Linked DNA regions of Canis lupus familiaris. The protein of the gene in region 1 interacts with the protein of each later gene in a pairwise test. Links are inferred from orthologs where the notes say so. Each region holds a gene or a part of one and is shown in the gene's direction. Other genes may lie near its edges. The genes, in order: USHBP1, PARVG, DTNB, COPS4, SERTAD3, EXOC7 and CCDC146.

The links.
Region 2: the proteins of USHBP1 (region 1) and PARVG interact in binary tests that used the Homo sapiens proteins (3 or more experiments, as listed by UniProt). The two-hybrid records come from large-scale screens. The link is inferred for Canis lupus familiaris from reciprocal best matches to the Homo sapiens genes USHBP1 and PARVG.
Region 3: the proteins of USHBP1 (region 1) and DTNB interact in binary tests that used the Homo sapiens proteins (3 or more experiments, as listed by UniProt). The two-hybrid records come from large-scale screens. The link is inferred for Canis lupus familiaris from reciprocal best matches to the Homo sapiens genes USHBP1 and DTNB.
Region 4: the proteins of USHBP1 (region 1) and COPS4 interact in binary tests that used the Homo sapiens proteins (3 or more experiments, as listed by UniProt). The two-hybrid records come from large-scale screens. The link is inferred for Canis lupus familiaris from reciprocal best matches to the Homo sapiens genes USHBP1 and COPS4.
Region 5: the proteins of USHBP1 (region 1) and SERTAD3 interact in binary tests that used the Homo sapiens proteins (3 or more experiments, as listed by UniProt). The two-hybrid records come from large-scale screens. The link is inferred for Canis lupus familiaris from reciprocal best matches to the Homo sapiens genes USHBP1 and SERTAD3.
Region 6: the proteins of USHBP1 (region 1) and EXOC7 interact in binary tests that used the Homo sapiens proteins (3 or more experiments, as listed by UniProt). The two-hybrid records come from large-scale screens. The link is inferred for Canis lupus familiaris from reciprocal best matches to the Homo sapiens genes USHBP1 and EXOC7.
Region 7: the proteins of USHBP1 (region 1) and CCDC146 interact in binary tests that used the Homo sapiens proteins (3 or more experiments, as listed by UniProt). The two-hybrid records come from large-scale screens. The link is inferred for Canis lupus familiaris from reciprocal best matches to the Homo sapiens genes USHBP1 and CCDC146.

What each region holds. Positions count from the first base shown.
Region 1 is NC_049241.1:45,884,277-45,888,351, forward strand, and holds the start of USHBP1 (Usher syndrome type-1C protein-binding protein 1), read left to right. Parts: upstream 1-1,275; 5' UTR 1,276-1,412; intron 1,413-1,693; exon of another isoform or gene 1,694-1,751; 5' UTR 1,752-1,825; coding exon 1,826-1,879; intron 1,880-1,976; coding exon 1,977-2,125; intron 2,126-2,338; coding exon 2,339-2,777; intron 2,778-4,075.
Region 2 is NC_049231.1:22,506,691-22,510,965, reverse strand, and holds the start of PARVG (gamma-parvin), read left to right. Parts: upstream 1-1,475; 5' UTR 1,476-1,750; intron 1,751-3,163; 5' UTR 3,164-3,264; coding exon 3,265-3,324; intron 3,325-3,451; coding exon 3,452-3,545; intron 3,546-4,275. UniProt on the Homo sapiens protein: Plays a role with ILK in promoting the cell adhesion and spreading of leukocytes.
Region 3 is NC_049238.1:19,927,672-19,931,905, reverse strand, and holds the start of DTNB (dystrobrevin beta), read left to right. Parts: upstream 1-1,434; 5' UTR 1,435-1,452; intron 1,453-2,655; exon of another isoform or gene 2,656-2,985; intron 2,986-3,316; exon of another isoform or gene 3,317-3,433; intron 3,434-3,998; exon of another isoform or gene 3,999-4,078; intron 4,079-4,234.
Region 4 is NC_049253.1:33,045,303-33,049,279, reverse strand, and holds the start of COPS4 (COP9 signalosome complex subunit 4), read left to right. Parts: upstream 1-1,177; 5' UTR 1,178-1,397; coding exon 1,398-1,471; intron 1,472-3,977. UniProt on the Homo sapiens protein: Component of the COP9 signalosome complex (CSN), a complex involved in various cellular and developmental processes.
Region 5 is NC_049222.1:114,041,090-114,045,177, forward strand, and holds the start of SERTAD3 (SERTA domain-containing protein 3), read left to right. Parts: upstream 1-1,288; 5' UTR 1,289-1,433; intron 1,434-2,615; exon of another isoform or gene 2,616-3,005; intron 3,006-3,234; exon of another isoform or gene 3,235-3,440; intron 3,441-3,488; exon of another isoform or gene 3,489-3,643; intron 3,644-4,088. Other genes in the region: BLVRB (flavin reductase (NADPH)), read left to right, coding at 932-1,089.
Region 6 is NC_049230.1:5,424,782-5,428,281, forward strand, and holds part of EXOC7 (exocyst complex component 7), read left to right. Parts: intron 1-2,060; coding exon 2,061-2,153; intron 2,154-3,072; coding exon 3,073-3,141; intron 3,142-3,500. UniProt on the Homo sapiens protein: Component of the exocyst complex involved in the docking of exocytic vesicles with fusion sites on the plasma membrane.
Region 7 is NC_049239.1:17,680,170-17,682,520, forward strand, and holds part of CCDC146 (coiled-coil domain-containing protein 146), read left to right. Parts: intron 1-2,120; coding exon 2,121-2,351. UniProt on the Homo sapiens protein: Essential for sperm flagellum biogenesis and male fertility.

The sequences.
Region 1 (4,075 bases):
ATCTGCCTTCAGCTCAGGTGGTGGTCCCAGGATGCTGGGATCAAGTTTCACATCAGGCTCTCCGCGGGGAGCCTACTTCTCCCTCCGCCTTGTTTCTGCCTCTGTGTCTCTCATGAATAAATAAATAAAATCTTTTTTTAAAAAAATGGCTGGAGCAGAGGCTAAGAGTGTAGATTTCAATGTGCCTGGGTGCCCCCAAGTCAGAGAATTGCAACTTATTTCCTTACCAGTTTTGGGGACGCAGAAGCAGGAAGACTCAGCCTCCTCTGTCTGTCAGCGGAATGAGGAAGATTCAGGCTACTCCAGGCTCTGCGCAGTTTAAACCAAGTGTAGGGGCACCTGGGAGGTTCAGTGGTTGAGCGGCTGCCTTCAGCTCAGGTCCTGATCCCGAGGGATCCTGGGATTGAGTCCTGCTTCGGGCTCCCGGCAGGGAGCCTGCTTCTCCCTCTGCCTATGTCTCTGCCTCTCTCTGTGTCTCTCATGAATAAATAAAATCTTTAAAAAATAATAAATAAAAAATAAGCCAAGTGCAGAAACAAGGAAAGGGTTACAGCATAACCAAAGGCCCTGGGATGTGAGAATTGTGAACCTTCACCTGTTCACAGAGGGGTCATCATGGCTAAAGCATGGAGTATACATGGGTGCAGACAGCAGGCATTATTTTTAAGGGCCTCGAATGCCGGGTAGAAGAGCTTGAAATGTTTCCCAAGGGCAATGGGGAGTCATGGAGGGTGTGTGAGCAGAAGAGGTGAACAATGAGGTCTCTGTCTCTGGGGCCTGGGAGGGGAAGGGAGTCAAGGGGTGGGTGGCTGTAGAGTCCACGGAGAGAGAGGGGCTGGCATCCCGGTAGAGGGGAGAGGGTTGGGCTGTTATGGAGGGAGATGACGAGGCCCTTTAGAGATGGATGCAGGAAAAATGGGCAGGATGTAGGGGCGATCTGTGCCCTGAGGAATCCAGGAGAAGCAGCAGCTGGCAGAGGAAGCAGAGATGGGAGGGCCGGAGAGGCAGCGAACAAGAGTGGTGTGTTACAATTCAGTTCTTGGATGGTGCTCAGTCATGTGCAAGTTGCTTGTTAAAATTCCCATGACACTGTAGACAGATCCTATAATTAAAGCCCCCCCCCCCCATTTTACAGATAAGGAAACTGAGGCTCAGAGGCGGAAGAGACATGAGATTGGAGGCTGGGGCAAGGAAGGACCGACAGGTCAGGAGCTGGACATGTGTGTCCCACCGGGACTGGAGGAAGCTGATGTCCTTGAGGAGGAAATAGCACAATAACAAGTCACATGACCAGGGGAGGGGGCTTCCTGTTTCCCGGCCTCTCCCAAGCCAGCCTTGGCCAGCCCGGGGCCTAAGCAAGCAGTGGCCAGAGCTACCCCAAGAGTGTCCAGGGATTTGGGCTGCTGACCAAGGTATTCCTAGAGGTACAGAGGAGTAGCATTAGAGCAGGCTGAGGGGACCCAACCCCAAGATTGGGGCCTCCGACTCAAGAGGACCCTGGGGAGGAGAGGTGATTCTTGAAGTCCTCGAGCCAGGTCCAGATTGGGGACCGAGGGGAGCACAGAGGTAGTGAAAGATAAAGGAGGCAAAAGACAAGGGGAGGTGGGAACAAACTTGTGAGGTAGTGAGCTGCCTGTCAGGAGGGGTATTCAAATGTGCCAGCTCAACACTGGTAATTCAAGATCCCTCCCAGCGGGAGGAGATCGATGCTCATTTCATAGAAGAAGGTATTAAGGCTGTCATTCGCCCAGACCAACAAAGACAAGAGCCGAGATCAGGCTGCGGCTTTCGGAAAAAGAATCAGAGGACTGAATTCTGGACAGCAATGAGTGCCCGGGCCACGCGACCCCGAAGCCGGCGAGGGAGGCACGCGCCACCTGTAAGTGCCCCCTTCCCTGCCGCATCCAGCTCTTTGGGGTCACTCACCCCCTCGCCCCCGGCCTGGCTCGGAGCTTGGCCCTGTGGGTCATTTTCAGGGGGAGCTGGATCCCGTGGCGGAGAGTTCAGAGGAGGCTGAGGCAGCCAGCGGGAGCTCTGAGCTGGGCCCTGTGCCATCTCAGGAGAGCTGCGAGCCGAGGCTGCAGGGGCCAGAGGCAGAGGCCAGTGGGCAGGGCCTTGGGAACAGGTAAGGTCCCCTCCGTCTGGGCTCCCACTCCGGCCCTGGTGTGTCTTTCCTCCCCACAGATCTACCTGTGTTCCTCCCTTGCTCACACACACGCCGTAGCTTCCCACTGCCCTCCTTGCCCAACTTTCAAGGCCCCGGATAATGCACCCTCTGTGAGCCAGCCACCCCAGATGACCCCATTTCCAGAACCTTCTGTCTCTCACTTCACCACAGGACCAACAAAGAGGCTGAGGGGGACTCTAGCAGAGGACTGGCCCCATCTCCCGAGGGACCCCGCAAGCCTGCAGAGGAAGGCCACCAGGCCAGAGATGTAGCTCCACAGGATGGGGAGACTGTCCCCCCCAGGCCTGAAGCCTCTGACGTGTTTCAGGTTCTCCAGCATGCTCTGAGCTCCCTGGAGGCGGCGGCGGCTGCCTGGCGCCGCCGGCCCCCCAGCTGTCCTGGGCCCGGGGAGGCAGAGGACAGAAGTGAGGTGGGACCAAGGCCCTGCTTGGAGCAGGAGGGGGCAAGTGGTTGCCAGAGGGAGGCAGCCAGCCTGGCAGAGAGGAATGACTGGCTACGATTGGCCTTGGGCAGCCGAGAGGAGGAGCTGATTCGCACGCAGGCCTCCCTGCAGGCCATCCAGGGGGAGAAGGAGATGCTGCAGAGAGAGGTGAGGGTCTCGACGTATTGTGCTCTACCTCTGAGGGTTCTCTGTCTAAGGGGGAGGCGGGCCTGGCATAGGCAACCTTCCATTGTTTGTTCATTAGAAAAACTCTTACGGAGGGACGCCTGGGTGGCTCAGTGGTTGACTTGAGTTGAGCCTTTGACTCAGGTCATGATCCCAGGGTCCTGAGATCGAGTCCCACATCAGGTTCCCCACAGGGAGCCTGCCTCTCTCTCTGTGTCTCCTCTGAATAAATAAATAAAATCTAAAAAAAGAAAGAGAAAAACTTTTATGGAGCGTTGACTGCTGCAGAGCCCTGAACAAAGGTGCCTTGCCTTCTTAGATAAGGTGGTCAGAGATGCCCCTTGAGGAGGTGACACTTGAGCCAGGAGGTAAGGGAGGAGCCATGCAAGGATCTGGGGAAAGAGCATGCCAGGCGGAGAAGGAGCTCCCTTCCAGAGGTGGGAGTGTGAGTCAGGGAACAGTGAGCAAGCCAGTGTGGGGGTGAGGGGAGGGCAGGTTAGTGATGGGGGCAGATTTACACGGTCTGTGGGCTTCTGGGAGTTGGGCTTTGGCCCTGAGCCTGGTGGGCTCCTGGGGGGTTCCCCCTCGCCCCCCCACCCTCGCCCTCCCGCGGCAGAAAGGGGCGGGACCTGGTGCCGCGGTCACAGGCGCCCTCTGGTAGGCATGGGAGGAACAGCCGGCGGATCCGCGAGGCACTGGTCCAGACACCAGATGGTGGAAACTGTGGAGGTGGCACAAAGTGGGCAGATTCTGGGTGGTGTCGAAGGTGGAGCTGGCAGGTTTGGGTGTGAAAGCCAGAGAAGGGTTGAGGACAAGTCCTGGTTTGGGGGCCTGCGGGACTGGGAGCCAGAAATGCAGGACCAGGAGCTGTTGGGACCCTAATGAGTTCAAGAAACCCCTGAGCCACCCATGTAGGACCATCAAAGACACAGTTGTGGGGTCAGAATCCAGAGCTCAGGGGAGATGTCAGGACAAGAGAAACACATCCCGACCTCTTTAACATGTGGATGGAATCTAAAGCCATGTGGCTGAAGGAGATGGGGGAACAGGCCCTCATCTTGGGCAGGCCAAGGTGGCAAGATATGGGGCCACCAGAGCCCAGCCTAAGGGGTGGGGCCCACTTCCTGGCTGGGAAAGATGATCCCCGCTCCACATTCCTCTCCTCACCCCCACCCACATTCCTCTCCTCACCCCCACTGCCTCTGGCACCCACCACTCTGTTCTCTATAACTGTGAGTTCAATTTTTCGTTTTGTTTTATCTTAGATCCCAAATATAAGT
Region 2 (4,275 bases), on another chromosome or scaffold:
GCGTTGGGAGGGCGGAGACTGAATCCTGCCCCTCTGTGTCTTCCTTTGCCCCAGAGGCCGGCTCCCGTAAAATCAAAGCCCTTAAAACTCTGCTTCATCATCGGTTACTCAGTAACTCTCGGCGGTGGTAACATCACTCACACTTTTTGTCATTTTTGTAACTTCCTGGGAACGCGTTTCATGCTCCCAGGTACCCTCGGTCCTGCTTCCTACCCCTCTACCCCGTTCCTGCCTGTTCTGTCAGCAGAGAAAGGGTGCTCGGCTTGCTGGCCCCTCGGCCCCGTCACTGCTGCCGTGAACACTCACAATGTCATCCTGGCTCCTCAGGATTCAAGTTCAGGACAAAGCTCCAGTCTGAGTTGATCTCTGCCTCTCCTGCCATCCTGAGGCCTCACCTTCTTAACCTCCTTAACACCTGTGCATGCACTGGTCCCTCCACCTGGAACATTCTCATGCATCTTTACCTGGCGAACTCCTACTCATCCGTCAAGGCCCGTTTCTCCTCTGGAAGAACTTTATCCCCTAGGCAACAGCAGCCAGCAGCGCTTATTCATGGAGTCTGCTTGGTGTCGGGCAGCATTCTAGGGGACACGAGACCTTCAGGCCTGTGGTGAGGAACCCTACCGACGGCCTCTTTTAGATCAGGCTGTTCGGGAAGGCTTCCTGAAGGAGGAGGCGTTTAAGCTGATGATACAGATGAGGACTTAGCCACTTTCAAAGCTGGAGCAGGAGCCTCTAGGAAGAGTAAGTGTGAAGACCCTGAAACAGAAGACGTGGTGCTTTCAGGAAGCAGAGGCGGTCAACACATGGCTGAGAGGCTTGGGGGCAGGAATGGAGATCCAGCCAGCAGGTGCATCAGGACACGTGCTGTGCTGGGCAGAAAAGATTTTGGAGTTTTTGTTGTAATTGTTTTTGAAGATTTTATTTATTTATTCACGAGAGACACAGAGAGGGAGGCAGAGACAGAAGCAGGCTGAGGGAGAAGCAGGCTCCCTGCGGGGAGCCCGGTGTGGGACTCAATCCCAGGACCCCGGGATCACATCCTGAGCTGAAGGCAGACGCTCAACCGCTGAGCCACCCAGGCGTCCCATGGGCAGAGTAGATTTTATTTAAGAGCAATGGGATGCCAGTGGTGGGTTTTGATGGTCTGGGACATGAGCCTCCTGGGCAGGGCTGGGGTGTAGAGGGCAGCAGCTACGGGGGTCGAGTAAGGAGGCTCCTCTGTGGTCCAGGCCAGGGGAGAGGGGAAGAGGGGCTGGTTGGGCGGGGGCATGAGGGAGGAGGGATGGCCCGAGGTAGGGCTCGAGGTTCGCTGGTGGCCAGGATGTGAGGTCCTCTGGGGCTGCCCCTGGGAGATGGCAGGCCTGGGAGGGACTGGCTGGGGCTGGGGTTGCGAGGTGGGGAGGGAGAGCGAGAGAGGGAAGAAAGAGCAGGTTCCAGTTGCCTGCGAGGCATCGAGGCATCGGAGGGCCAGGAGGTGTGGCTGGGTGGCTGGGGCTCTGGGGACAGAGCTTTCCGGTGGGGCCGTGGAGGCACCGGGCCCCGAGGCCCAGCGAGGAGGAAGCTCCCTGCAGACGCAGCCGAGCAGGCCCTGCGGAAGCCACAGGCTGGGAGGAAGTGAGTGGGGTGCGTGGCCCCTGCCTTCCCCCCCACCCCGGCCTCCAGCCCCCCTCTGCTGGGAACTCGTACTTGGAGGCCGGTGATCAGGATCTACGTGGCCTTCATTTCCTGGTGTGGAGGAGGCAGCTAGGTGAGTCCTCCTGGCGTCTCCGCTCTTGCGAGCCTCTGTAATGCTGGGGAGCCAGAGCTCATGGAGGGAGGGCTCCCGGGGCCCTGGTGGGACCAACCCCAGAGAACACAGCCTTAGCTGGGGCCACAGGAGAGAGAGTCCAGCAGGCGACACCCTGAGCCTCTGTGCCCCTCCAGCCACCCATGCTCAGAAGCAGCCCCTCTGTCCCCTCCCCTCCTGGGGCCAGGCAGGCGCCATCCTCTTTCCAGTGTGGCCGGGTGGGCAGCCTCCCTTTCCACATGCCATCACCCCTGAGCTTCCCCCAGCGTGCGGGGGAGAGAGGCCACCCGGCTTCAGATGGAGGAACCGAGGCCCAGGGCAGGACGGGGACAGCCCGGAGTGGCCGATGGCCTGCGGCTCTTCCAGCTCTGTGTCCACTCCACTGCCTTTGGTGACTCTGAGTCGGGCCCTGCCTTGTATAAAGATCTTTAGGACCAGAAACAGAGGGGATTTATCCCAAGTCACACAACTAGAATGAGGAGGAGCCAGGCTGGACTCTGGGCCACCTGACCCCCAGGCCACACTCTTTTCTCTGGCCACATCCTTTGAACCGAATCCTGTCCAGGAGGAGGTTTGGGAGTTCAGGGGGTAGGATGGCGCCTCAAGCAGCGCCCTGGTGTCCCTGGGCTGGCTGCTGGGGTGATGGGGTGGCTGCAGCCCCAGGGAACGCCACCAGCTAGCCCCAGCTTTGGACCCTGCTGCTGTAGTCAGGCCTCCCCGGGGACTGGAGCCGAGCACCAGTCTGATGTGTGACACCCCAGCCCCAATGTGGTTTGGGACCAGAAACGCCGGTGGAGATGCCGGGGCTGAAGAGGGGGGCAGAGCTTCCGGCTGAGCAGGAGAGGAAGTGAGCCTAGGGGAACAGGAAGGAGGCCAGGGCTGCCCCATACCACTGGGGGTGAGCCCGGCTCCCTGTCCATAATGAACACCCGAAGGGGGCTGTGCACACTCTGCAGATGCCGGCCCCGCCCATGCCAGCATGAGCACTGAGACCCCCCAAACCGCAGAGAGGCTGAGGATGATGAGGCGCATTGTAGAGAGCCTCGTTTAGAACCAGGACGGGCAGGGCCAGGCCACCCTCTGAGGCCAGGCCCACAAGGAGATGAGCCTGGGTGATGTTGGCACGCCAGCTCTGTCCGCTCACTCAAAGACTGGGGGTGCCACTCTGTGCCCACCTGTCTCGGGTTCGGAGACCTGGAGAGGATGACCCCAGGGCCCCCCTAGTCCAACCCCCACAGACGTCACTCATCAGTGTGTTTACCTCCACCAACTCCCACGTGGGCCCCCCTGGGTACCCCCGGAGCCCTGTTCTAGGGTTTCCTGGACCTTGACAAGCTCTGGAGAGTGGGCCACCCCCCTTTGTCCTGACTGCAGGGAGTGGGGCCCGGACTTCCTGGGTGCCGCAGAAGAGCTGCGGCCTGGCTCCTCCACACCCGACCGAGGAGGCGCCTTTGCTCAGGCCGTGCCCTCAGCCGATGCCTCTCTCCAGCCCTACATCCTACAAGAATCGGCCTGAGGCCTACCTCTCATCTGGGGTACCTGTCCCCTTGCCTAGGCAACCCCCCTCCCACTGTCCCTGAGCCTCATGGTCTGGAAGAAATGACTCACAGGGTGAGTGCGGGGCTCCTCGGACGGTGATCCCTTCTGTCCCCTGCACCCCAGGCCGGCACGGGAGAAATGGAGCCCGAGTCCTTCTACAACCTGCTGCAGCGTCCTAAGGTGGCGGGGCCGCCGGCGGAGGAGGAACTCCCACAAGGTGCCGTGTCCAGGGGGGGCCGGGGGGCAGGCAGGGCAGGGCAGCAGGGGTGGGTGCTGGTGAGGGTCTGCACAGCAGGAACCCGACAGGCAGGTCTGGGCACGGCCCTGCTTTACCAAGTCGTCCTCCGAACACCCAGTTCCATTCGGCCCCTGCCTATGCCCTCTGCTTCATCCCTGACAGCCCCCCGCCCCTGATTCCAGAAACTTCGTCAGGTATTCCCTCCTGCCCGCACGTCTCGAAGTTAATGGTGACATTGAGGCGAGCCTAGCCGCTACTCTGTGCTATGCACGTCTTACAGGCAGCAGCTCATTTATTGCTCTGAGTGTAGACCGTACACCTCCTTTGCACTCACAAGGAAACTGAGGCCCAGAGAGGGCCGTACCAGAGTAGCAGGTGACTCAGTTACCGTGGTGGAGCTGGGATGCTGAACCCAAGGAGGGCGGCTCCAGCTTTCAGGATCCACGCCCACCACGCGGTGCTGGCAGCTGTCCCCAGAGATCTGACACCTCACGGGGGTGGGGGTAGGGGTTATTGATCTGCTTCCTTCACACGCATGGAAGAGAATGGGTGTAGGATGGGGCGGTTCAGCAGGTCTGTTTTCCCAGCTTGGGGAGCTCGTAGCTGCTGCCCCCGAAAGCTCCCTCCCCGGAGGTGGTCAGAGAGGACAGCTCAGCTGCCCCAAGCTGGCATCTCCCTGTTACAGAAAAGAAGCAAGATAGGAAGTGAC
Region 3 (4,234 bases), on another chromosome or scaffold:
AGTCCCAGGATTGAGTCCCACGTTCGGCTCCCTGCATGGAGCCTGCTTCTTTCTCCTTCTGCCTCTCTCTCTCTCTCTCTCTCTGTCTCTCATGAATAAATAAATAAAATCTAAAAAAAAAAAAAAAGTCCTGTATACATCACACATTCTGCTGGTCAAGCAATTCTCTTGGGCCAGCCTGGATCAAAAGAAGGGACACAGAATCTGCAGACATCTTTAATGTACTGCAGCCTTAGTACATTAAGTAATTTGAACTTTTTGCATGGTGGCTTTGAAAACTATTATTTTTGTCTAATAGTTTTAAGAGGCTAGCTCTTAGAATCGATCACTCTGATGGTTTCCCCCAAGTACAAGGGGGCTCTCTCATTATGTAGGTTTACATTTTCTTATTTCAAGAAAATTTCATTATTTGTCCCATTATTTGGCATTCCAAACAGAGAGAGAAATAAGCACAAAGGTCTGCAGGCAAGGGAAAGGAGGAACATTCCAGGAGTTTGGATGGGATTTGTGTAGGAAGTGACAGAGAGGAAGTGGGGAGATAGACAAAGGATAGATGAATGGATGGTTTTGCGTGCCATGCTGAGCAGTGACATATGCAGGCAGCATATTCTGGGAAGTGTTTTCTGACATGCAGTATAGAATATGGAATGAAAGGAACGAGACCACAGGAGAGGGACAGGATCAAAGCTATTACGTTAGTCTAGGTGAGAGGCTTAGCCATGAGGGACAGATTCTAGAGTTCTTAATGAGGAGAATCAACATGATTGTTGAGTGTGGTGGGGACGGGAAGGGAGGAATCCAGGATGACTCTCAGGTTTCTGAACTGGGCAACTGAGTGGACAGTAATGCAGAACAGTTTTAGACACATAGGGCTTGGGGTGGCTGGAGGACATCTAGGGGAAGAGGTCCAGAAGGTGTTTGTCTGTGGAACTCAGATGAGTGGTCTGAGCCAGTAATGCATTTGAGAGTTGCTGGTATATGTGATGGATGAAGACAGGGAGGGGGTGGAATGGCTTCAGGAGATTGTGTAGGGTGAACCGAACACTGAGAACAGAACTTGGGAGACTCAGGAGTGGTCAGCAGGGTGAGGAGGTGAGTCATGTCATGAAGGCCAAGGGAGTTTCCAAAAGAGTGGAGTGCTTTGTGTTGCCAAGTGCCACCAAGAGCCCAGTGATATGAGGACTCAGATACAGCCTGTGACATTTGGGATTCAGCAAGCCCTTAACGATGGATTGGTGCAGGGATGTGGTGGGGACAGAAGTTACATTGTGTGGGTTGACGAGGGAGAAGCTGCTGAGTTGGCAGAGATGAGTGCAAACTACTTTCAAGACATTTGTGAAGGGAAATAGAGAAAGGGAGCAAGCAGTAACTAGAACACAATGCAGAGGGACCGAGGGGTTTCTTGTTCTGAGGACAGGAAAAGCCTGACTATGGCAGATGGTGATGGAAAAGGTAAGAGGGTTTGATAATTTTGAGAGCTTGAGGTGGGGCGGGGGGCACGATCGAAATATGTCTGAAAGGAGTTTTCTGAGGATGTGGGAGGTAATGAGGTATGTATGATGCTCATAGAAGTGAACTTAATTCCCAGAATGGCTTATTATAGTCCAGCTCTGGTACTGAAATTACCTTGGTTTCAATCAATACGGCAAATATAGCAAACAATATCGACATATTTATTTTACATCATTTACACATCTTTTCTCCAAAGGGTAGGATCAATGTTTTACCCTTTCAAAGCCTCCCACATAGTTGGTGCTCAGTAAGTGGTAAATGAATAAACAAGATGTCTCTTGCCTGTATTCTGAGTATCTCAGCATATTCAGAACACAGTCAAGACCCTGCACACAAGCGAAAAAGCTTGAAAAAGCTTGCATGCTTAGAAGCATCCAAGAGTCCTAAAATCCATGTGTCAAAGTTGATGTCCTTTCCTTGAGGAACCTGTTTACCCTCACTTATTTCCTTCACCCTGGGAGTTTAAAAATAGGAAAATGAGAGGAGGAGGAAGAGGATGTTCTAAAGGCAGTCAGGCAGGCAGACAGCAGCAGGAGGTGGCACGATCTGCCTTACCATAAGGTGCCAAAAAGCAGTGAAAACCCAGGCGCACAGCATCCTGGCTTGGGGGCTCTTTGCTTAGGGACTTAACATCCCGCACTCACAGTGCAATTATCCTTAAAGGACACTGCTGATTTGAGCCGTAAGCAACTGTGAGAAGAACGATCCTCTGAACTATCGAGAAAAAGCTTAGCTGTTCTTATTTCGAATCATCTCCTACATTTCACACACTTTGGAAAGCATTCTGTCAAAAATGAATAATATTAAAACAAAAAAGCTGATGTCGAGATGGTAAATCTGGGTCCGGCTCCGTTCCCTCGCCCAAGCTGTTTACCCAGCCTTGGACGCCCTTTTTTTTTTTTTTTTTTTTTCTCCTCGGACGTGTTTCTTTCTCTTCCTTCCAGTCGGGACACAATTGCCACCTATTCCAGGAACCCCCTCCACTTGGTCCAAGCGGAAGTAATCTCTTCCTCCTCTGCCCTGCCATAGCATCTCCTTGTGGGCTTGGCTTTGCCTGGGTCACCAGCCCCGCCTGTTTACACGGCTGCTTTCGTACGAAATTATGCGCACCTCGAACCAGGGGCCGTGACCGCGACGGCGTACCTGCGCAGCACCTGGCAGCGAGCTAAGCGCGGAGCCGGCGCTCACGAAACGCTCGCTGGGTTGAACTTCATTTGGGAAGATCCCTCAGGGCAAGACCTCTCGCCGGAGGCGCGGATGAATGATTCATGGGGTGGTTCTTTGCATTCTTCACCTTCGAGTCACGGCGCGCACAGTGTCCAGCTGCCCCGGCACATACCTGTGGAATCGAAACGCACCTCCGCCGCCAGCGCGCGGGACCAGCCGGAAGGGGGCGGGTTTCACCCCTCCGCGTCCGCCAGTCGCGGGCCCGCTGGGGGGAGGGGAGGGACGGGGGAGCCGGGTCCCGCTCGGCCGCAGGGGGCGGGGCTCGGAGGGAGCTCGGCCCGCTCGCCCGCCCCCTCCTCTGCGAGGCGGAAGCCCCGCCCCCGGCCGCGCGCTCGCACAGGCGGCGCGCGCCCGCCCCCCGCCCCCCGCCCCGCGCCCCGCGCCCCGCGTCTCCGCGCCCCCGCGTCTCCGCGCCCCCGCGCCCCCGCGCCCCCGCGCCCCCGCGTCTCCGCGCCCCCGCGCCCCGCGCCCCCGCGCCCTCGCGCCCTCGCGCCCTCGCGCCGGGGGCGGGCTTGCTGCGCGTGCCGGGCGGGGAGACGGCGCGAGCCGGGCGCCTGAGAACGTCCGCCGCGGGGGCGGCTCCGGGGCCTGAGCGGGCTCCGCCGCCACCTCGGCCGCCGGGCCCGGGCCGCAGGAGGCGCAGGAGGCTGCGGCCGCCCGAGACCTTCGCGGCGTCCCCAGCTCCGGCCGGGAAGTGAGTGCGGCGGCGGCTCGCGGCGGCCGCGGGCTGCGGGAGGGCGGCGGGGTGGGCTGGAGCCTCGCGCCCGCGAGGAGCGGGAAGGAGCCTCCGGGCGGCGGGGGACGGACGGGGCTCGGGGAGCCGGGGCCGCTGCACCGCGAGCGCAGAGTCCGGGGCCGGCGCGGCTGGGCTCGGAGCCCCGGGCCGGGGAGGGGTCCCCGGGGTCCCGAGCGCACCGTGGCCGCGGGGCGCGGGGCCGGGCTGCGGGCGCCGGGCTGATGCTGCTGCTGGAGGAGGAGGCTGAGTTAGGTGCTGTGAGGGGCGAAGGAGGCAGGTCCTGGCAGAGGGCAGGTGAGGCAGTTAGGCCCTGGCAGAGGGAAGGGACTGTATCTCAGCTCGCCCCCAAGCACTGCTTGCGGAGGCGCCTAACCGTGCTGAACCCGTGCACCGAGGTCACCCTCGAAAAGAAGGTGTCCTGAGAGCAGGCGGGGTGGAGGTAACAGATGCTTGCCGTTGAATTCCTGTGCCAGGCCTTGGGATTAGGAAGACCTTCCAGCGCTCCTGGCCAACGTTTATCGATTAGCTACCTGGGGTAGAGAACCGCGGTCAGCAGCTGGGGCCACGAAATAGTGTAAAACACAGCCGTGATCTGCCGTGTAGGTAGGTGCTGACGATTTGGGAGCGAAGGTGTGTGCATGTGAAATACAAAGTAGCATTGAATTTCGTCTCACACTTTATTCACTTTAGGTCTTTTTTTGGGTCTTTTCCCAGTGTTGGGAAATTGGAGCTATAAATTGCTTGGTTTGGAGATAAAGC
Region 4 (3,977 bases), on another chromosome or scaffold:
GTGTATATAACTCTGGGTCATGAAAAGACATATCCCAATCTGATGGACAGGGTTGTGCATCATCAGATACCCTGCTTTTTGAGTTGGTATAGAAACTGAATAGGGAATCGCTCTCTGTTCTTTAGCGGTAGGAGTGTTCCACTGTAAGAATACACACAGCTATTTAGGTAATCAGAGGAACAGACTGTAGAAGAGATTACTGATTGTCCCTTTAGACCCATCCTTTTCTTAGACAAAGGGCTGTCCAATTGGAAACGAAATTTCTAGCCTCATTGTTGCTAGGCCTAGTCATGTGACTAAATTCTTGCTAACAGATTGGTATCAGAATTGATGTAGGCAAATCTCCACATTATTTTCTTGAAGAATTTCCTGGTTCTAGTCTTTTTTCTTTCCCCTTCCCAATAGAGGGAATATGCTATTTATTCCATATCATGAGGGCAAAATTCAAAAGTCTGCAGAGAATGGCACTCCTACCTGTTGTTGGTAGGTAATTCTTTATTGCAGCACTGGTTGATTGATTAAAAATAACTTAAATGTCTAGCTATAAAGATAAAACTATGACCATACTCTCCAGTTAAAAAAAAAAAAATGATGAGGAAGCTCTTCGGATATACATGGTAAGAGCCTCCCCCTAAAAAAGAAAAAAAAAAAAATCAAGGGGAATAATGATATGGCGTGTTGTCTTATGTGAAAGCAAGAAAGTTTAACAATCTACATATACTTGCAGAAAAAAAAAAATTCTATAAGCATACATGAGTAACGAACACAATTAGATATAAAGGTGGGTGACCATATAATTTTATCATCCAGATGGTAGTTTCTGGAGTAAAAGGGCGTCTTATTAGTAATCACTCCAGGACAACAGACGGAACCGTCCTGGACCAACTGGGATGCGCCACCATCAACCTATACGAAGGGCACAAAGTTAGGGAGAAATATGCACATTTTTATTGTATTTTACAAGAGTACCAGTCTGTGGCGAATCGGAAATTAAAAAAAAAAAAATTGTTTAAGGGCTGTCTTAAAGAACGAGGAACAGTACACCGCCTGAGTGAGACACGGAACTTAATTAATGACGACGCGGTAATTCTGGGTACCGGGCACTTACTGGAGTTGCACCAGCTACACACGCCTTGGACTTCATCCGCCAATCCTAAGTGGGAGCGCGCGAGCCTGAGCCTGGGGGAGACTCCTGGGCGGGCCTCGGCCGTGAGTGGAGCTTCGCGTCACTCCACTCTGCGGACGGACCCCGCACAAGCTCGCACGCCGGGCGCTCTGGCCCACGCAGTCGCTACTCTATGGCATCTCGGGTTCCCTCTAGCTGCACTCTGGAGGACTACAGTCGTTTTCTTTTGGTCTGTGCGAGGCCCAGCAGCCTCTGCTGAGCTGGAAGAAAGATGGCGGCGGCCGTGCGGCAGGATTTGGCCCAGCTCATGAATTCGAGCGGCTCTCATAAAGATCTGGCGGGCAAGTGAGTATTTCCCAGGGGCCTGGAAGGTCGGGAGGGAAGCCGTAGACCTTGTTCTTGGACTGACGGCGGCTTTGGGATGTGAGCCGGCCTGACCACCAAGGGGGCGGGCCTGAGGTCGTTTGTGGACGCAAAAATTGGGGGCAGCAGAAAGCTGGTGGGGACCTTGCGCAGGGAAGCCTTCAGGGGCAACAGACCTGGGGTGACTGTCCACTTGTTTTATCTTTGATAGCATCCTTACCGGTTTCTTAACACTCTGGAAGCATAGCCTGAGTGAGGGACGACTGCTCCCATGGCCTTCTTAGCTTTCCTTGGTGCCTCTTTTCATCGCTGGCCAGTATCCCACACCGAATTCTGGTCTCTCCTTGGAGCCTTTTTTTTTTTCTTTTTTTTTTTTAATTGAGGGAAATTTATATTATGGGACCTCGATGCAGAGTTTTCTGGGAGATGGCTTCTCAAGGCTGACGGGGGCTGAGGAGGTATGGCCGCTGTCTTGTTCAGAACCACCGAGACCGTCTTCAGTGAATATTTAATGTTTTGGGTTCTCTCCGCTACCAACTCTGAAGAGGGGCACATAAGCGGAACGTCCTCACAGTGTGAGTCAGGATTAGTGATATTTGCAGGAATCTGAATTGTTTAGGAATTTACGTCGAAGGCTTAGATCCACTACACGTTAAAATTTGTGACATGTGCTTGTCATGCAAGCAGTTATTCAATAGTGTTAATCGTAGGTAGGTAGGAAGATACTGTCCGTTTTCTTTTTGTAGATTATACAGTACTGTTCTTTTGTATTGAACTTGCATTTTGTTTAAAGTATGCGTTTCAAGTTGATGGTAATATTTACATCCTGACCGCTGAGATCATGTTGATCTGTATAAATGGGACACACCTGCTCTAACCTGGCCATTGAAACCTTTACTGGGTTTTATGTGAGGTCTGCTATCTTTTCTCTGATGGCAAATGTAATCTAGTTTTATCAGTGGGAAATCTAGTTGTGTATCTTGAATTTAGCTACTATGTACTGCAGTTTCCTTCTCATGAAAATGGGGATCATAGGACTTATTCTTGTCTGAGGACGGACACTTAGAAGTGTAGCAAAATGAGTATGTGTGTGTGTATATACACTTATATCATACATATCACTTAGAGCAGTACCTGACGCTTAGTGCCACAAAATTGTCTTTGTTACTATTATTGTAGAGCAGTTAGTAAATACATACATTGACTTATTCTTTGGATGGTAAATAAGGTGAATGTGTCTTCATGGTTTAATCCTTTCTGCACGTAATTTTTACAGATTTGGATGAAAGTAAAATGAGCATTTATTTTTCCCCATGCTCCACTAATATTCCTTCCCCCCCTTTGCTTTTTGTTTTGTTTTGTTGAAGAAAATGAAGTACATTATTTATTGGAAGAGATACAGTTTTTCAAGTATTCTTGAATTCTGAAACTTAAGCTAAGAATTTGCTTCCTCAGCTCTGAATAAGCAATCTTATAGGGTACTTTAGTTATGTATTACTATGTAAGAAAACAAAAACTTAGTAGAGTAAAATAATTATTTTTCAGGATTCTTTGGGTTGACTGGACTGTTGTGCTGTTCTAGTCTGAGCTTACTCATGCAGGTGCAGACTCCGCTGGGAGCTCCGTTGGGGCTGGTGGGGCTAAAATGGACTCAATATATACATCAGGCTCTTGGCTGAGTCTGTCTCTCCACATGGTCTCTCATTCAGTAGCTCCTTACAGAGCCATAGAAGTGTTCCAAAAGCGTGAGAGTAGAAGTTGCTACACTTCTAAGGCTAGCCATGGAAATCTTATGAGATCAGTTTTCTAAAACAGGTCAAAGTAAGTCACAAGACCAGCCCAGATTCAAGGGAGGAAAAAATGGTGTGTGCCTTTTTATGAGAGGAGTGGCCAAGTTACTTTACAAAGGGGTATGGACAGATGGGGGGCATGATTCATTGGAGGCCATTACTGTAATGGTCTATTACATGAGATGATTGTGCCTGATAACTGATACCTTCTTGGCCTTCCCTACAGGTACATATCTGGTCCTATCTGGATAAGAATATGTCAAATATTTATTTTCATAAAAAAACAGTTCTGCCAGCTACCTCTCTATGAGGAAAACACTCTTGAAATGTATCAGTAGTTTTAGGATTTGAGTAACAAAGAAATCATGTTAAGGAATGGGATGGCAGAGTAAATACGTCTCTAAAATATTGATACTGTGTGTTTCTAGCAATTAGCAGAATATTTATAACAGAGCAGTCATTTAGTAAGTGATAGTTGAATTAATGAATAGCTAGAAAGGTACAGAGCTTGTATTTGAACCCATGTTTATCTACTCTAAAAAGCTTATTTTTAACCTACCAGCCCTGTATGCTTTTCTCACCCAAACTTCAATTAGAAATGCTTTCTCATAACTGTGAGTTAGCACAACAATCTAATGTTGACATAAGACTTCGGCCATGTGAGATGCATTTTTGCAAATTTTATAAACTACTTTTGT
Region 5 (4,088 bases), on another chromosome or scaffold:
CTTGGGGTCCTGGGACTGAGCCCCACCTAGGGCTCCCTGCTCAGCAGGAAGTCTGCTTCTCCCTCTCCCTCTGCTGCTCCCCTTGCTTGTGCTCTCTCTCTGTCAAATAAATAAATAAAATCTTTTTAAAAATAATAAAATAGGGACACCTGTACCAGTAGGCTCCAAACGATTCTAAGTTGGTCACAGTCAGAGATTTTTAATTATCATAATGAAGCCAACAGATGCCCTCCTACTGGCCAACTTATGCCTCCAGACCGAAGGACCCAGAGAAAATCTAGCCTTTGCTACTGGGAAGTCATCCTTTGCAACCCTGGGAAGTGACTCTTCCAGATTCAGTTTGCCCATCTGTAAAATTGAATTAATAATAGTTCCTATTCCCTGCTTTATTTCTCTCCCTGTAACATACTGTCTATTTCACTCTCTTTATTTGTTGCCTTTTCCCAGCTAGTGTCTGCATGCAAAGGGCAGGGATTCTTGTTCATTTGGTTCCTTGCTGGGTGCCCAGCCCCTGACACATAACAGCTGTCAATAAGGATTTGTCAAACGGATCAAATAAGGGGTATAGACTGGCGTCCTGCACATGGGAAGAGTTTCATACATCATGGACTTTTTTTTTTTTTTAAGATTGATTTTATTCATGAGAGAGACAGAGAGAGAGGCACAGACACAGGTAGAGGGAGAAGCAGGCTCCTCGCAAGGGAGCCCGATGGGGGACTTGATCCCAGATCCCGGGATCACACCTTGAGCCAAAGGCAGACGCTCAACCCCTAAGCCACTCAGGTGTCCCACATTGTGGACTCTTATGCCCTCTGGGCTGGGCACATTGTAAGCACCCTGGAGCGACCACGTGTTGTGGGAAGGGGAAAGGGCCTCAGCTTCACCCAGTGTCTTAGGACCTCAGCTTCACCCAGTGTCTTTACACTTTCAGGAGACCAGCCGCTGACTGGGGCCTACACAGTAACCCTGGATGGACGCGGGCCCTCTAGGGTCATCTCCAAACATGACCTGGGCCACTTCATGCTGAGCTGCCTCACCACCGATAAGTACAACGGGCACTGCACCTACCCCTCCCACCAGTACGACTAGGGGCTCTGACCCTGTCCAGGAGGACAGCATTCTGGCAAATGGAGAACAGAGGAAAGAAGCAATAAATCTTGAGTCAAGAGCTTCAAATTATTCTAGAAGCCCCAACTCTGTGACTCTTTCCTCTGTCCAGTTTTGTCTGGGTGATTCAGTGTTTCTATCTGCCTCTGTGTAAGATTTTCACTCATTTCCTCGTCTGGCCCTGTGCTAGAAACCAAGGGAGGACTGTGAGGACCCAGGGGGCAACCTTACCTTCACAGATCTCACGGTCCTGCAAGGAAGACACCCCAGCCCATGACAGTGACAACCCAGAGTGGCCACAGCTCCGAAGGAGGAAGCCCAGAGGGGTGAGGGAGCTACCTGACCCAGCTTGAGGAGCCAACAAGTTAATAATACTTTGCTCCAAGGGGAGGAGTGGTCATCCCCAAGAGGCTGTTACATGGAAGCTAACCTGTGCAGAATCATTGTAAAAAGCCTGAGCTTTATTCTGAGGTTCTGTGCAAGGAGTGGAGCAGGAGAGAGGTGGGGTGGGGGGCACAGCCAGGTTTGTGTTTTATAAAGCTGCCCTTGGCTGCCATGTGAATGTGGATCAGAGGAGTGCAAGAGTAAGGGCTGGAGCCCCAGGGTACCAAGACGGAGGCCTTGAGTGGGGCCCGAGGGTGGGCATGAGCAGACTGGACAGTCCATGATGGAAAGGAGAGAGACACCCAGAAAGAAGCATAGAGCTGGAACCTGGAGACAGGGTTAGAGTGGGGCCATGGTGAGAAGGGGAGCCCTGGAAGAGGGGCAGGTTTGGGAGGGGGAGGGGAAAGAATGATCCCTTCTTCATCCTGTCCTTTTTTGGAATCTACTGTCCCCTGCCCATGTTCCCCAGAGACACCTTTCCCTGGTCTGAGTGAGCCAGTCCTCTCTCCCTATTTCCAGCTTCCCCCACCTACCCACCCAACATCTTTTCCCTTCTCCTCAAAAAAAATAGTAATTCCATTCCAATCCTATATTGCTTCTGCAAGCAGCAGGATGACTGGTTGACAAATTCCAACCGGTAATAACTGGTCTGAGAAGCCTAACTCCCGTCACAGGGGTAGCCTGGAGAAAACAGCCTCCTCCTCCCTCCTCTTGGTGAAACATGGGGGTGGGGCATTACTGACTGGTTCAGGCTTTCAGGGCACTAGCGCTGTTTTTTTCCTGCCCTCTTTCTCTTTCTGTCACATTAGGCATTTAATGTGCCTTCTTTGTGTCCAGCCATGTGCTAGGTGGTGCTATGGACCAAGCGCTGGGCGACCCAGATACAACCTTGGTGCCTGCAGGGCCCACAGTCCCCACGGTGGGCGCCCAGGTCCAGGAATGGAAGGCATGGGCAGAGGGGACAGGGCCAGGACGGGGGAAGCCCGGGACACGGGAGCAGCCCAGAATGGGAGGGCCTAACCCACTCTGGAGCATCAAAGGAGGGCTTCTGGGAGGAGGAAACTTTTGAGAGGAGTTCTGGGGAGAGGCGGCGGCCTGGGAATTGAAGGATGTGGGAAGCAAGCTTAAAGATCCAGAGGCCCTTTATTGCCATTTTTGAGGACTTGCTATGGTACCTAAAACACTGGGGATAAGGCAGGGAAGAAAATGGACAAAAATCTCAGGGTTTACGGTGGTGGCGGGCCCTTGAAGTCATTTTGGAAAAATGGAAACTCAATCACTGGGGCCGCATCGCAGGAGGCGAGGAGCGAGGAGGAGTGTGCATCAGGCCAGTCCGTGAAGGGCTTTGTGGAAAAAGGGAGGAGCTGGGACTTTGTCCCCAGGGCAGTGGCGAGCAAGGAACGAGTTCCCAGCCGAGGTGCCATCCCTCCTGAGCGAGGAAGGATGGGGCGCCGGGGGTGGGAGGGGAGGCGGCAGGAGAGACGACCGCAGGACGTGCGGCGAAGTCCCTGAGGCTGAAGAAAGAGGCCGCGGGGCAAACTGTTGGGGGGGCAGGGAGACGGGAACCCGGCTGCGATCGCCCAGGCAACGTAGGCCGCGCCGAACTATTGGCTGGTCTTGAGCTGCGTCATCCTCCGCCCCGCAGCGTCCGCCCTCGGAGCCCCGGGGGCGCGGCCTCCGCCAGCGGGGAGGGGAGGGGAGGAGAGGGGAGGGGTGTGCCAAGCAGCCTCGCCCTCGGACGGGGGTCCTCACCTGCTCTAAAGGGACCGCTGGGAGAAGGCTGACGATTTTGGAGCGAGGAGCGTGACTGCGGTGAAGGAAGCGGCTCTGACGTCCTCGCCGCCCTCCGCCCTAGAGACGAGGCCCCGCCCCCCCGGGCCAGTCGGAATCCTTTAAAAGGTCCCGGGTGGAAGGAAAAGGGAGGGCGGGGCGGGCGTCTCCTGGCGACCGGCCGGTGGCTCCGCCCAGCCAATCCTCGCCCCGCGGCGGGCAGGACTCCAGCCAATCGCGGCTCGCGGTTCGGGTCCGGGGCGGGGCTGGGTGGGCCGGAGGCCAGACCGAGAGGCCCTGGGGAGGTGAGCGAGGCTGCTACTCAGCACTGGTGGTGCTGCGGTCGGTCCGGGACTTGGTCATTGCGAACCTGGTGGCTAAGGTGAGAGAGAGAAAGGCCACCCGGCTTGAGATTCGCCTTGGGTTATGGGAGGTGGAGACGCGCCCCCGAGAGTTGTGAGGGCGGGGTCTGGGCGTGGGTCGGGGGGTGCAGATGAGGGTGACTGAGCGGGTTGGTGGGGTTTGGGGGCTGGAGACTGAATTCGAGATCCTGGCCTGAAGGCGAAGTTGTTGGGGGCAGTATCTTCAAGTGGAGGGACTTTGAAGCTGGGACCCAGGGTGTTTGGAGAAGCGAGAGAGCCAAGGAAGGAACTTCTGGGGCAGGAAATCTGAAGATTAGGACAATTCGGGTCCCCCGGGCGGGTTGAATTCGGGGCTCGAGTGCTCTGGAAAAAGGGTGAGGGGTTGGGGCTGGGATCCCGGACCTTTGGAAAAGCGAGAGAACTACGTGCAAGGAATCTGGGTGAGGGAGACGCAGTGGCGGAGAG
Region 6 (3,500 bases), on another chromosome or scaffold:
AGGAGAGGCTAGGATATCACAAGTGAAGGGCTGCTGCCACCATAGCTGACACTGCTGAGCTGTGTACACTGTGTACACTGCCCACTGTAGCCTGTGGGACCTGTCCCTCGTGATAGCAGGTTGTGTTTAAGTGTCTCTTCCCTATGCCCCTCAGCAAGCACCTGCTCCCACTCAGGCCTTTAGTTGGGGTTTGGAGAAATGGTAGCATAGAGGCTGCCCTTGGGGGCCCCAGCAGAGACACACCGCCTTCTTCCCTCCAGCGTGGGTATCCTGGCTGTCACCTAGAAAACCTGCTCCCAATAGTGACTGTGCTGAGCCAGCCTGCTGGGCCGCAGCTGCCGGCACACAGTAGGTCTATTCCTATGTCTCTGTGCTTTGGGCGGGGCAGTCTTCCTCCATGAGGCTGTGAGGCAGCCCGCTTCAGCTGGCCTGTGCCCTCTTCCCCATCTCTTCTCTGACAGGCCCACAGGGGGCCCCCGACTGGTCTGCACTGCCCCCAGAGTGTTGGCTGGCCATGGCGGGGCTCACAGGGGGTCTCATCTGTCCTTGGCTTGTGGGTTCTAGAGGAAGACTCAGGCTGTGAGGATCCCTGGTCTCTGCAGAGTCTCAAGAGCTGTCAGCAGCCAGCGCATCAGGGCTGATGTTAGAGAACCAGGGAGCCAGGCCCCTGGCACATCCGCTCCTGGTTCGGAGGTGGGGAGCAGCGAGGCCTCAGTGGACCAGTAATCTAATCCCAATGTCAGCATCTGTGGTCACTGGGCACCTGATGGGTTTGGCGGCCACCCCATCAGCATTTGTCACCCATGTCCACACCAGCCAGCCTCCCCCAGGCCCGTGTGCTGGGGCTGTGGGGCAGGAATCCGATTTGCTCATTAGCAGGACCGCTGGCTGAATGGGGAGAACACAGGAGACAGATGCTGAGCCTGGGCCCTGAACTTGGTCATTAGTGGCTAATTGTCACGTGGTCCAAACAGAACAAGGAGCTGTCACAGATCTTGCCCCTCCTCGCCCCGCTTTTTGGGGTGCTGCCAGGACCCGCACAGCCTCACTGTGTTCAGAGACAGCTGCGGGGACACAAGGAGTCTCCAGGGGAGACGAACCAGGGTTACACGTGGGGCCTCCTCCCCGTTCCTAGTACATTTTATCAACAAGGCAGCTGTCCTCGGCTATTTTAAATACTATTTTATATCCCCCATTTTCTGCCCTGCGAGGTCTCATTCCCACCGAGGTGGCTGACCCCCGGGGCTGTAGGCGCTGTGGTTTTGTTTGTGTTGATTTCACTCGTGATACTAACTGTTGTTTTTTTCCCCCATGCCGGGAGCATGCCCCCCTCTCTACTATCCTGCCTCCTCCGGCTCTGTGTGGTGGCTTCCGTTAACCCCAACCGAGCTTTTGAGTTTGTTCCCGATTGCTTTGGGGGTTCGGGTCGCTTTGGTGCGAGGGGCCAGGCTGCCTCAGGGTCTCCAGGCCTTCTGTCTCAGGCACCGCTCTCCCAAGAAGCTCAGTCACGTTTCACCAACTCCCGGGTTCTGCGTTCTGTCGACCTCTTCCATTTGTCCACGTCCCAACACTGAGCATGCCCGGGGAACCCTGCCTGGCATTTCGGGGCCGGGCCAGGGGGTCCCCAGACTCCGCCAACCTGGCTGTGCTCTCCGGGTGGGAGAGCTTCGTCACCAGCACCTCCGTCCTGAGCCCTGGTCTGTTCTGCCTTAACTGCCACTCAGTGGTGTCTTTATTTTTGGCTTCTCCCGATGGATCTTTGCCCATCTCATCTCCTTCACCTGCTGCACTTCCTAAAGAGAACTCAAATCCAGAGCAACGAGGGTCAGTAGCAGAATCAGGAGCCCCATGTGGGGCATGACCTGGGCCCGTTCCCTCCTGTCCATCTGCAGTGCCTCCGGGGGTCCTGGAAGGGGCCTGCTGGAGAGATGGCGTGTGGGCATGCTCACTGTTGGGGGGCCGGGGCCGGGGCTCGGGGGGGCAGGTGGAGGCCTGCTGCTGTTTTCTCTCACTCATTTCCTAGGTCTTCTTGTCTCCTCTCTGTGTGGCTCTGGTGACAGGGACGATCCGTAAGGCTCAGAACCTTCTGAAACAGTATTCCCAGCATGGTCTAGATGGGAAAAAGGGGGGCTCTAACCTCATTCCTCTGGAAGGTAATCACCCTGTGTTCTTCTCCTGTTCCCTCCTCCTCCACCATGTGTCCACTCTCGTGGCAGGGCAGAGCCTCCAAGCCCCCAGGAGGGCCATGGGAGAGTCCCTGAGAGGGGAGCAGGGGTGGGAACAGCAGGTCCCTGGTGCTGCTCGTTCCAGATGGCCACAGGGGTAGGTGTCGTGGCCTCGGCCTGGTCCTGGCGGGCTGACGGCAGCTCTGCCCTCCCTGAGGCTTCCTACTCCCTCCCTCCCCGTCTCTGTCCTTGTCTTCTATTTGAACTCAGAGAAAGTTCTTTGTCATGGGCAGCCCTTTCACGCTCAGACCAGCAGTGGCAGGATCAAGCCGGCCTAGGCCTCCGGGCCACCCCCACCTCCCCTGGCTTTAGAGAGGGGAGGGTGTGCCGCAAAGGGGATGGGCAGCCTGTAGGCCGGGTCCCTCCTTGCCTCCTATCAGAGGAGGGACAGCCCTGCCCTGGTGGACCTGACCCTCCTTCCAAAGAATAATCCTTGGAACAAAAGGAGGCTGTCCCGTTTCACTCAGCAGTGACATTACTCTAACTGGGTCTCTCCCCAAATATGGTGAGGTGGGTAAACCCCCTGGGGCTGAGCATCAGATCCTCTGGAGCTGCCAGAAGCTCTCCAGAACCCTCCTTGGTCGTCCCGCAGGCTTTCTCTTGGCCTTGGGCTTGGAGAACCAGCTCCCAAGGACGGTCTGGGACACTGCGAGTCAGGCTTGAAATGGCTGTTCCCAAGGTGGTCCGAGGCAGAGGAGGGCCTCAGAGCCCCCTCCCGGGGCCCTTCTCACACCCCCATCTCACATCCCCTCCTGGAGGTTGAGGGCTTCTTCCCCGGCCCCGAGGGGCAGCCCACCCGGCCCCTGGATAAACGCTGCTTGTGTCTGTGCGGCCGACGTCTTGCTAGGTCACGAGCATGATTTCCGAGTTAAGCACCTGTCCGAGGCCCTGAACGACAAGCACGGGCCGCTGGCTGGTGAGTACCGCAGCCCAGCCCGAGGGCAGCCGCCGCTGCCTTGGCAACAGTCCCCGGAGGGCTCCGCTCTGAGGATGAGCCAGGCCTGTTTGCCTCTCTCTCTCTCAAGTCTCTCTTTTGGGCACTAGGTCTCCTTGTCTCTCTCCAGATGGGAGTGTATGCCTGGCTCTCAGGGCCTGGGCCAAGGGGAGAAGTCGCCGCTACTTGGACGGCGGCTCCCTGGCGGGCAGGGAGCCCTGACATCTGACTCCACCAACAGCTCTAAAGCTCTGACTCGGAGCCCGTTTCTTTGCTTATGGGACCAGGTTGCCTGCGGGTGCCCCCTGCCCCAGCCTCCACTAGTGGGTCCCAGTCTCCTT
Region 7 (2,351 bases), on another chromosome or scaffold:
CAGAACTCAGAAACGGCCAGGGACCATGACAAGAGAACAGCAATCACACGACACCCATGCCTAATAGTCTTGGGGGGCAGCCACTGCCGGGGCCCCACTAGCAAGGCGACACCTTGAATGTGGAGCTTCCCAATTTCAGACGTTTAAAATCTGAGGCCTGCTACTTTAGAGCGACCCGTCAGGCTGGTGCTAGAGCGGGGCAGTCAGCAGGAGGGAGCTCGGGGAGGCAGGGGAGGCAGGGGAGGCAGGGCCTCCGCACAGGGCCGTCCGGGTCCCCTGCTCGCTGGGCCTCCTGGCCCCTTGGAGCATCCCGCCGTGACGGCATGGGGATTTTAATTTCCCTAAAGCTGGTGTGCACTAAGCTCAAGAAAAAAAACAATCTGTTGAATGAATGAACAGTCAGTCCCATTCCAGAAACACTTGGGTGCACTAAAGAAACAAAATCATTATAAATCTCAAGGCTCCTTTGCCGTTTTCCCTTGGCTTTTACCCGGCTGCTCTGAGGACTTCCACTAGCACACTGAGCCCCCAGTCCCACGGCTCCTGCACAGGTCACAACTTTACTCCAGAAATAGGAGATGTTAAGACTTCTTTAGTCTCATGAACTTGCCTGAATCAGCATTTCTCTAATTTTCTCTAAATGTTGTTTCTCTAAATGTTGCCTTCCTTCCTTTTGCAAAATGAACTTCCCTCTCTTTAGGGGAAGTCCTTCGTTTTCACCCAGGGCTGGCTGGTCAACAGAGTCTGGAAGTCAACCGAAAGGCTAGAGAAATGTGAATGGTGGTGACTGCTACCTGGGAGGCTTCCGTCAGAGGAGTCCTAGCCTAGTGGTTGATCTCCCCTGCCTTTCCCCACCTTTGGTGTTCTCTCCCTGTTTTGTTTTTGTTTTTTCATTCAACATTATGACCTCTTCACAGTAGGCAGAACTAGGGGTAGAATGGTTCAGATCCCAGGTCAGGGACATAGCAATACTAGCGAGTGACCTTGAGAAGGACACAGAGAGGATTTTAATGACCAAGTCTTCTAATCTGTGACAGGGATGTGACATTAGCTTAAGTTGTTTTAAGCATTCACTAGGTAAGAAGTGGCCTAGCCCCTTGTGGGGACTCAACAAGAATGCAGATCTCCAGGCTCTCATCTTTCCTAGAAGCAAATGGCTTCTCAGTGTACCCTGGCTCAAAAGGCTGGAGGATTAAGATAGAATTCGTTAATTCCTTCATTCAACAAATATTGTTTTAATCGTGCTATGTTCTACTTAGCCTGATCTTTTAAGTCTTTGATGATAACCACCTGATGTGAAATGGTAAACATACGTGTAGAACAAGGAACATTTCATTTCAAATGACTGACCAGATTTTCCCCGGTTCAGTTCATGCTTGCTCATGACCTAATAAAGATACATCCCAGGAATTATGATCAATAGTGCAACCACAATGAGGTACGATATTTTCCATTAAAAATCACTTCAGATGCGGGACCTCTGCATAGGTGATGAGTTTTTTTTTTTTTTAAGATTTTATTTATTTATTCATGAGACACAGAGAGAGAGGCAGAGACACAGGCAGAGGGAGAAGCAGGCTCCACACAGGGAGCCCTATGTGGGACTCAATCCCGGGTCTCCAGGACCAGGCCCTGGGCCGAAGGTGGTGCTAAACCACTGAGCCACCTGGGCTGCCCAATGATGATGAGTATTTTTTAAGTATAGTTTTTGTTCTACCAGATTTTTTTCCGCTGGATAAGTGACAAATTAAAAACATGGCAATCTTAGGCCAGAACTTAGACATCAAAAATATCCTGTCCTTTTCTTCTTCTCACCTCTTAAAAATAAAGGGACTATTCCCCTCAATGTTACCTATCCACTTGGAACTCCATAGTTCAATGAACAGATGTGTTTTTCTCCTTACTTACACAGCCAGGGAATTGGGCTCAATCTCTGAGATCTCTCCTAGTTCTTATTTTCTCTGAATTCCCACTTAGGCTCTCCCTCCTTCAGGCAAGAATGCCCGCCGCCGCCCCCCCCCCACACACACACCTCACCGTTCTAGACAGCTCTCAGCCTGCCATTTTCTTGACTCTTCATGGAATATATATAGTCTAAGCTTTGGGCTCTTTCATTCTAGATGAATGGCTACCGGAAGAAGATCAAAGATGCTACGGAACAGATGATGGCTCTTGTTGCTGAGCTGTCCATGAAGCAAGCTCTGGCCATTGAACTCCAAAAGGAAGTCAGGGAGAAAGAAGACTTCATTTTCTCTTGCAATTCCAGGATAGAAAAGGGCCTGCCACTCAATAAAGACATCGAGACAGAATGGTTGAAGATACTCCGAGATGAAGAAATGTATGCCTTGGCC